2 linked regions of the Saccharomyces cerevisiae S288C genome follow. The protein of the gene in region 1 purifies or fractionates together with the protein of each later gene. This does not show direct contact. Each region holds a gene or a part of one and is shown on either strand. Other genes may lie near its edges.

What was found. The genes of interacting proteins can lie anywhere in the genome.
Region 2: the proteins of RGI2 (region 1) and CCE1 purify together in Saccharomyces cerevisiae (affinity purification with mass spectrometry, with the first as the bait; one large-scale study listed by BioGRID). This does not show direct contact.

Annotation. Positions count from the first base shown.
Region 1 is NC_001141.2:246,579-251,205, reverse strand, and holds RGI2 (Rgi2p), read left to right. Parts: upstream 1-2,809; coding exon 2,810-3,304; downstream 3,305-4,627. Other genes in the region: VHR1 (Vhr1p), read right to left, coding at 1-1,215; YIL059C (uncharacterized protein), read left to right, coding at 4,291-4,627; YIL060W (uncharacterized protein), read right to left, coding at 4,380-4,627. UniProt on the Saccharomyces cerevisiae protein: Involved in the control of energetic metabolism and significantly contribute to cell fitness, especially under respiratory growth conditions.
Region 2 is NC_001143.9:418,696-424,073, forward strand, and holds CCE1 (cruciform cutting endonuclease), read right to left. Parts: upstream 2,522-5,378; coding exon 1,460-2,521; downstream 1-1,459. Other genes in the region: snoRNA-splicing protein PRP40, read left to right, coding at 1-1,366; putative ubiquitin-protein ligase UFD4, read right to left, coding at 2,729-5,378. UniProt on the Saccharomyces cerevisiae protein: Capable of resolving Holliday junctions. Specific for 4-way junctions. Seems to be important for the maintenance of mitochondrial DNA. Cleaves fixed junctions at the point of strand exchange. Cleaves after 5'-CT-3' sequence.

The DNA.
Region 1 (4,627 bases):
CCTCTTGTTAGGTGAAGATGATGGTGGTTCTGACGCACAGGAACTAGCCAAAGGATACTGAACCATCACAATATGATGTATGATTTCACTTAAAGGGTAAAGCGTGGGGTCGAAGCCAAAATCCTTGACAATACCACCTATGACCAAATACAGTAGCCTTAGTTGTACCTGAGCCGCGGGGAAATGAGATAAGTTATGTCTTGTAGCGGCACCGAACAGTCTTTGAGACAACAAAGCCAGATTTTCAGGAGAGCACGTCTTGGCAGTGATATACTTCATTGAAGAAGAGACCAAGTTGGAGAAAAATCGTTCGATAACGAATGCAATAGACATTCGGATTGACATTTCACCCAAAATCTCCAGATTTGCGTATATATCAATGGATCCTGCAGCCTGCGAAATGTCCTGACAAGTTCTTGATCTTTGGATTTGTAGGAGTAACTTTTCCCTCAGGAAAAATGGCACGGTAGAATCTATCGGGATGTTTGTGGTAATGTTAGGTTGCTGGCTGAGTGAAGACGTAGCAAAATGTGACAGGTTTGGCCCAGTATATGGGTCCTTGAGAGCTTGTTCTGATAGGGGTACGACATTCGTAACAAGATCGTGCACTAGCATGGTGACTATATCGTTATACTTTTGTTGGGTCGAAGTAACCGATGGAGATGAGTCATTTTGGGTGCCCACGGTTGGAAAAATGGTTCCGTTATGACTCTGGTGACTCATGAGAGGCTGGAACTTGTTTGAAAACTGGAAATCTGCAGCATAATTAGAACTAGGCAGGAAGTCCGAATTGGAGCGCTGGTAGATCGACGGAGAGATCTCGTCGTCAGAAGTAGAATTTGACGAGATGCTGTTGTTGACATTGCCGCCACTGCCATTGGCTATGCTGAGAGCGTAGCGTTTTTTTGATCGTTTTCTATTCCTTCTCACTGATTGCACAGCAGCAGTGACTAACTTTTCGAATTCCTTAGAGCAGCTTACAGGGTATCCAAACTCCGTTCTTAATATTGTAGCAATCTGCTTTATGTTTTGATCTTGTTCGCTTGCCTTATATTGACTTAGTTGGAATTTGTCTATCAGCTCCAGCCTTCTGCTCGAAAACTGTTTCCATTTCTTTTCATCATTAAAATTGAGTAATTCTCTAATCTTATGAGTTGCTCCATTCCCAGAAAACTTATTTATTCTATATTGAGTGAATGTTGGAGGACCGTTCATATGTGTATAGGATATAAGCAACGAAGAAGAATAGGTAGAAAGAGAATAAAGAAGGTTTTAAAGCTATAACTAGTAGAAAAGAAAAATGTAGGAAGGGAATGCGGATGCGTTTATGCTAAGATGCGATGGGGACAATAGAAAAAGAAGAGAAAAAAAAGGAAGAGGAAGAGGTAGTGGTATAGAGAAAGAGAGAGAAAAAAAAAGGCTAGTAGTATTTGTATAGTAGGGAAAGGGCTAGATTAGAACTGAACCAAGCTGACCTGAATTGACTCAATAACACCATTCTCACCCACACAAGTACCGAAGATCCAAAAGGCAAGAATCATGGAAGAGAGCACATTGATTTATAGTAAAAAAAAAAAAAAGAGAAGACGACGGTAGAAAGATTTCAGGGAACATATGGCTTACACTTATGCTGAAGAAGTAAGAGGGAGAAGCGAAGCAAATATAATCTGTCACAATGCACAGTGCGCAAACGTAATCTGCCCACTCAGCTAATAGCTCCTGCCATGATTCTGCTGCGTAGTCTATATGAAAGGAAACGAAGGTCAGAGATGAAAAAGAGATAAAAAAGAAAAGAAACTTCTCCGAGGGGCGCAGAATTCAGGGCAAAACAACATGGAATCGATCAAAAGTCATAGTCACCCACGGAAACGTGGCGCCTATTCCGTGGCAGCTACCCGCCCGCCGCTTGTTCTCAGGGCACTTGTCCACTGCATTCCGATGTTCCGCGGAAATTAGCACGGCCTCTTATCCCCGGCTCCGCACGATTCCCTGTGTCCGTGCATAACGAATGACTCTTGTGTCGTGTTATCCGGGCTTTCTCCTTTTCCTTTCCCCGAGAAAGCAACCGACGCATACGGATATAAGCGGATCCCACCGAAAAGGAGACTCCACGGTCTTGGTGAATAACATCGCGCAGATTATTCTGCGAACCGTGGCTAATAGGAGCATGCCCGAAGAAATGATTATGGGTGCGTGATCACCAATCTGTGTGAGGCTGTCGAAGATATCTGATAATCAGTAAGCGATAAAAAAAAAATAAAAATAAAAAAATAACGACACCAGCAGGATTTGAACCAGCGCGGGCAGAGCCCAACAGATTTCAAGTCTGTCGCCTTAACCACTCGGCCATAGTGCCTAAAACAATGTAGGTTATTTAAGCAAGTATTGTAGATACTTTTCGTAATAAACTACAATGCACCCACGACTCGCGGTGTAATGATGGCATGAAATCATTGAACGAAGTTTTGCGGCTATACGGCTGAAGGACGAGACTAAAGGGACAGGAATTATTAATGCGGGGTATAATTTGAATAGTATTAACGGGCACTGCCGTTTAGCCATCAAATGCTATTGTTGGGGTATTCTCTCTACTTTTTGTTCTTGGCTTGAACCTTTTCGGCGGTTGGCAATCGTCCGTATATAAGCATCGGCTGTCCCAATCCTCTATTGCCCTTTTCCCTTGCACCTCCTTCTCAATTCTTCGTATCTTTCGCGTAAAGGTAGATCTTGATTCACCTATCTGTCGAAACACGATTAAGTGCAAACGAAACAACGTACAGTATATAACAAAGTATTTTAAATAATAAGAATGACGAAAAAGGATAAGAAAGCAAAGGGTCCTAAGATGTCCACCATCACTACAAAAAGTGGTGAGTCCTTAAAGGTTTTTGAGGATTTGCATGATTTTGAAACATATTTAAAGGGTGAGACGGAAGATCAAGAGTTCGACCATGTCCATTGCCAACTGAAGTACTATCCACCCTTTGTCCTGCATGATGCGCATGATGATCCGGAAAAGATCAAAGAGACTGCCAATTCGCACTCTAAGAAGTTTGTTCGCCATTTACACCAGCATGTTGAGAAGCACCTGCTAAAGGACATCAAAACCGCTATCAACAAGCCAGAATTGAAATTCCACGATAAGAAAAAGCAGGAATCCTTTGACCGGATTGTTTGGAATTATGGCGAAGAAACGGAGTTGAACGCCAAGAAATTCAAGGTGTCTGTCGAAGTTGTATGTAAACACGATGGCGCAATGGTAGATGTTGATTACAAGACAGAACCCTTGCAGCCACTCATCTAAGTTTGGGGAGCTGTTTTTATGAATTAACGAAATTTTATGAATTTACGAAATATAGCATGCTATATAAAATAATTTATATGCGCATGTATTTTGGTGTGCACCTTCTTACTGGAGTGTATACAAGTCTACAAATCAACACATGTGGTTTTTTTAATGTTTTGTCGTCACAACGCGACCTTAAATAAAAGAATTCCACGCTAGATTCATGCTACTATCACGAACAATACGTACCAATTAAGCTTTCTTGGTGTAATAAAAAAAGAGAAATGTACACACCACCATGATTCCGTTTACGTCTTGCTTTTCTACTTGTTTCGCTCATGGGTTCTCATCAGCTCTATTGTGTGTGCCCTCTTTGTAGATAATTAAACACATTGAAAAAAAAGAAAACGAAAAGATGGCACACGGCTTGGTCATCGAGTGAAGAAATGAAACTTCAAAAAAATTGCCGGACACTTAAACCTTAACGAGTTATACAGAACCGTATCCAGACCTGGAGCTGGGCTATAAGAAGAAGCGACAATATGGTATACTAAATTTCTGGACTCGTAGTCACTCAGTCTGTTTGTCAGTAAGTCACGTAGACCTGTATCGGCAGTAACTATGGTATTTTTTCCAGATTAATTATTATACGATGTTGTTACTTCGATAAGGTCACAACAGGTTTTCCATTGTTGAGAAACTGACTTTGATTATTATTTAGTTAGTAGGCAACTGTCATGTTGCAACCACAACAAGCAACAATCCTTTCACCATGACTATTATAAGCGGCCGGCAAAATTGCCGGGAAAACTGCCAGGGATATAATGCAACCTTCATTTGAGCACTTAAAATAGAAGATAACGTTGGTAAACCCCCCTTGATAGTGGACACATCCTACGTAGATCTCTCTACAGCCAAGTCGTATATATAGCAGCAAATTGCAACCAACCACATGGGACATAGGAATGAGTGGTTTTCTCAGACCCTGAACGTGACCGTCCATCATGAATTTCTCCACAGTTTTTCAAGCAATAATCGCGGTTTTAGGTTTAACTACAGTCACAGCTTTAGCAGAATTTGATTTCGACGTAGGCTATGAAGAGTTTGTCCGTACCAATCCTGATACGATTTTCTTAGAGAGTGATATTGGCCTGCACGTTGGATATACCGAGGGTGGCGAACGACAGATAGCAACGATACCACACAATTCCACGCTAGGGACTTCACTACGTGAGTATAGTGGCTGTGGTGGTAATGGTACAGAAACCTCCATCGCTACCCCCGCACCTACAATGAGTGAGGTACCTATCGCTACCTTCGTGAAACGTAGAAAAAGTGTAC
Region 2 (5,378 bases), on another chromosome or scaffold:
AAGGACTAAAGAAGAAGCAGAGAAGGAATTTATTACCATGCTGAAGGAAAATCAAGTAGACTCTACTTGGTCATTCAGTAGAATTATTTCAGAACTGGGGACCAGAGATCCAAGGTATTGGATGGTCGATGATGACCCCTTATGGAAGAAAGAAATGTTTGAGAAATATCTTTCCAATAGATCAGCCGATCAACTTCTTAAGGAACACAATGAAACAAGCAAATTCAAAGAAGCCTTTCAGAAAATGTTGCAAAACAATTCTCATATAAAATATTACACCCGTTGGCCTACCGCAAAGAGACTAATTGCCGACGAACCAATATACAAACACTCCGTGGTCAATGAAAAGACAAAGAGACAGACCTTTCAAGATTATATAGATACCCTCATCGACACTCAGAAAGAATCAAAAAAAAAATTGAAAACACAGGCCCTAAAAGAACTAAGAGAGTATTTAAACGGTATTATAACAACATCATCCTCTGAAACTTTCATAACCTGGCAGCAGCTTTTAAATCACTATGTTTTTGATAAGAGTAAGAGATATATGGCGAACCGGCACTTCAAAGTCTTAACCCACGAAGATGTTTTAAACGAGTATCTGAAAATAGTAAATACGATTGAAAACGATCTTCAAAACAAACTAAATGAGCTCCGACTGCGCAATTATACCAGAGACCGTATTGCTAGAGATAACTTTAAAAGCTTATTAAGAGAAGTGCCAATCAAAATCAAAGCAAATACTAGATGGTCAGATATTTATCCTCATATAAAGTCTGATCCGCGCTTTTTACATATGCTTGGAAGGAATGGCTCGTCCTGCCTTGATTTATTTTTAGATTTTGTTGATGAACAAAGGATGTACATCTTTGCACAAAGATCAATAGCCCAACAGACGTTGATAGATCAAAATTTTGAATGGAATGATGCCGATAGCGACGAGATCACCAAGCAAAACATAGAAAAAGTTCTGGAAAATGACCGGAAATTTGACAAGGTGGATAAAGAAGACATCAGTTTGATTGTTGATGGTTTGATAAAGCAAAGAAACGAAAAGATACAACAGAAACTCCAAAATGAGCGTAGGATATTGGAGCAAAAGAAGCACTATTTTTGGTTACTTTTGCAAAGGACATATACAAAAACCGGTAAGCCCAAGCCTAGTACGTGGGATTTAGCTTCCAAAGAGCTTGGCGAATCTCTTGAATACAAGGCACTAGGCGATGAAGATAACATAAGAAGACAAATTTTCGAGGATTTTAAGCCTGAAAGCTCTGCACCGACTGCCGAAAGCGCTACTGCAAACTTAACGTTGACCGCGTCAAAAAAGAGGCATTTAACTCCGGCTGTGGAATTGGACTATTGATTCTGACGTGTCGACCTCTATCTTGTTAATCATTATATAAATTATACATAGAGATTACATGTTATTTCAAGTTTGCGATCACCGCACAATTTCTTAGTCATTGTTGTAAGTGTTCTGCAAAAATTTCAGCTTTTGTACCTTATTTTCACAAAATTCAAACACCTGTCCGAACTGTGTTTTAACCAGTGTTTTTGAATTCAAGAGTTCAGTAATACTTTCATAATTTTTTAACCACTCCATCCAAGACAAACAATGGAGGAATGAATCTGCCAAATCGTCATCTTTTCTCACCCCCGAATTATCTTGGATCTCTAGTATATCACATAGCTTGAAACTTTTTTTTTTGGTAAGGGCATTTCTTATCCTATTATTCCAAACTCCTATGAACTCGACCAGTTTTGTAGAACTAGTTGAATTACCTTCTAGTATTGAGGTTGAAAGTATTTTTTTCACTAGCTTTATTCGAGAATCTTTGCTATGTTTGTTAGATTTTAACTTTTTTGAACTGGTCGGTGTCTCTTCTCTTGGAATGCACCAATATGAAGTCATCCGATGTGGATCGGACGAACATACCATATACCTCAACTTGGACGTATTCGGTATTTTATTCGTATACTTCATTTTATTTTCCAAGTTAGAGAAAAGAATCTGTTCGAGAATATTCACTTTTAAAATTGGGTCTAAAATATGCCTCGAAGACATAGTTCTGGTACGTTGCCTTTCAATTGTAAACATATCTGGTATCGGCATAGATTCAAATAAATACTCCGTAAGGTTAAATACAAGCTCAGAAGTTTCAGCAGGATTCAAGCTTAACTTTTTGAGGTTTTGAAAAAATTTCTCCTCTAGATTTATCTTTTGCCAGTCTAGTACTTTAGGGAGCGGATCATTATTGAGCAATTGCATCTTAGAGAAAGCAAAGTTAGAAACACCAGCATCCATAGACAATATGTTAATTCTTCCCTCTCTTATCTTTTGTTGTCGTAACTTCTCCAAAAATTCACACTGTTCTTGAATGTAGGTTCTTTTAGCTTCTTTCGTCGTGCCATTTACTGCTCCAATAACAAATGATAAAGATTTCAGTTGTGTGCTTTTTGCATTTTGGCAGCAGGAATCGATGAGTTGCAATATCTTAGCTTTCTGTGCTGTCGACATATTACTATCTTTTTTAGCTTTAGACTGTATAACCGTAAGCCTTCGTTGTATGCAATGGATAAACAAATATGGAATCGCCAGTTGAAACAAAAAAATGAGAAAAGTACGGATAATCCGAAGAAATTTAGTCTGATTCCATCCATTTTTTGTATCTTAAGAAATAATTTTGAAGTCATATAAAACTTAAATAGAAAAAGTAACTAAAATTTAGGAAAGTAGAAAAGCTCCTGCACCCTCTTCAATGGCTTGACAAAGACGAGACCGCATAATATCTTTGCTAGTATACTTCGGCAATTTCAAATAATTAGCACATGTCATTACACTTGGTAGATATTCGTCTGCTGTTAGGCCATCTTCAGCATGCTTTAACACAACTGTAAACTTTGGGTTCAAACTTTTAAATCCCCCAATTGGAAGCTTGGGAGATCCCGTTAAAAATTGCAAAAATAATCTTCTTTCATGCTTACCAAACGCGGATATTATTGATATAAAATCATGAATGATTGAAGAATCCATTGTATAGCCATGTTCAGCGTTCAAGTTTGTGTATAAAGTTGCCATAGACCAGTCTTCCTCAACTCGTCCGAAAATATCCACTAATTCATCCGGAAAAAGTATTAGCATCCTCTCATAGGAAAACACCTTTGAAAAACCTTCAATAAATGCTTTTAACTGTTTTTCAATGCCCTTACCTAATATTTGGTCGATAACGCCATGGATATATTCTTCAACATTAGAAGAGTTCAAGGATTTATTACAACCCCCCGGAATCAACTCAATGTCATCATTTCCAGGAACGGTAAATGTCAAGGACAACGATTCTAGGGTCATATTGTCATCCTTATTCGCTACTATGTATTTAAGGGATTTTGCGAGTAACGGATCTACCAATTCGATCATTAACAGACAGGTTTCAACGTCGCTCGGCACTGTCGTCACATTGGGCGTAGACATTCTGTGCAATAACTCAAAAAAGACTTTGCTAAATCTAAAGTCAAGAATTCTATTATCAAGCAACGATCTGGCAACAAATGTCCCCAAATATCCAAAAAGTTCAATAACTTTTTCATTATTGGAAAACGGGTTGAGGGGCTCTGGGAACAATAAAGTGGTAATATAATCGTCAGTAGTATCAACATCCATTTCGCTTCTGTAACTATAAGAGTTACAACGCCACATATTTAACGACTTTCTTGCAAAATACTTGGAAACTACGGAGTAAAATTCCAAAGTCGGTCCTAAACCTGTTCCTGCTTCTTCTTGATATTCAATTTCCAGTACGTCAGGGCTACTTCCGTACTTGGATAAAATCTTGAGACCGGTAGCGAATATTGTTTTTCTTGAAATCCGCAGCTTACGCCTAGTAATTCTCCCAAGTTGTTGTAAAGCTTCGTCATTCCTTAAATCTTTCGAGCCTTTACTCTTATTCTTCCAAAGTTGAATCAATCTTCCGTAACCAAATGAAGTACATTGTAGGAAAAGCATCCTGGTATCAAACGGAAACAAAAATGGGAATCTCCTGGTCAAAAATAGTGACCAATCCGGCAAAGCTCCACTTGCTACTACCAATGGTTCATCTAGTTGTCTAGCGAGCTTAGCGCTTAGTTTTGAGTTGATAAAACTGTCGCTTTTAACACCGCAGCTATGTAGAAAATCCAGCAATGTCAGAATATCCGCTGAAGATCCAGTATCAACCTGTGCGAATTCTCTTTTTTTATAAAAATCTCTTAACTTTTTCCCCTCATTAGCTTCCTCGGCTGCCTCACTCTCTCTATTGTTACCTTCTAAACTTTTGCAAAATTTGATTGTATGTGTATCATCCCATAAAGTTTTTAAGTCACGATTTCGCCTGACGAATGTATTAAATATCACACCAAATACTGTAGACTCCATGTCAACTTTTTCATTATCATAAAAAAAGTCAAAGTTCTTTTTTCTCATATGATCCAAGCAATTTTCTTCTTCTTCCCTATCAGCTTCGGTACTGGAAGATGTAAGGTTTGGGATTAATGAATTCAAAAAACGCATTCTTACCATTCTGTGTCTCAAAAACTCATTAAGTGAGGTAAAAGAAGCTATGCAATGGACCGAAACGATAGTAGATGATAAATCAGTACCAATATTATCTTTGCTTGCATCGCCATCATAAACCAACTTAATTTTTATCTCTTTAGCCAGTGAAGATACACCACCACCATCGTGTAAACCGCAATCAACTATAGAGAAATTCTCCAGCCTTGTGAGAGCAGATTGTAGGATTTCTAAAAATCTGTCAATACAATCCTCAAATACCTCTAAAAATGATTTAGCAAGAATGAAATGGGATACCGTTGAGGATGTAATTCTTTTAGTTATGGAGGAAGCTAGCCCTGTAGAAGTAAATTCGAAACCTGACACGTCGAAATCTTCATGGAAAATACATTTTTTTAAAACAGACCAAATTCCCTTCCAATCCTCTTCAGTTTTGTCCGGAGTGGAAGGATTTTCTAAAATAGAAACAACGCCTTCGATTTGATGGAGCTCCTCTGTTATTGCTTCTTGCTCAACGTTCATCTGAGAAAGTACTCTATTAACTAGGTTCACACCCTTGTTTTTAATATAAGCTAGAGATAGAGTTCTGAAAATGTGTATTGAAATTTTCTTTGGTTTTACTGAATCAGGAATTTCCATATCAGTAAATTCGTAATCATATTCTTCATCACCCTCATCACATTCCTCAATACTGCTATGCAAATCCCCTTCTTCGTCAGAAAGTGAAATATTTTCATTCCCGTCTTCCTTTAAATCAATGTTATTGAAATCCACAGACAAATCCTTAACCAAATCAAAAATGCCCTCTCTTTTGATGGAAGGAAAG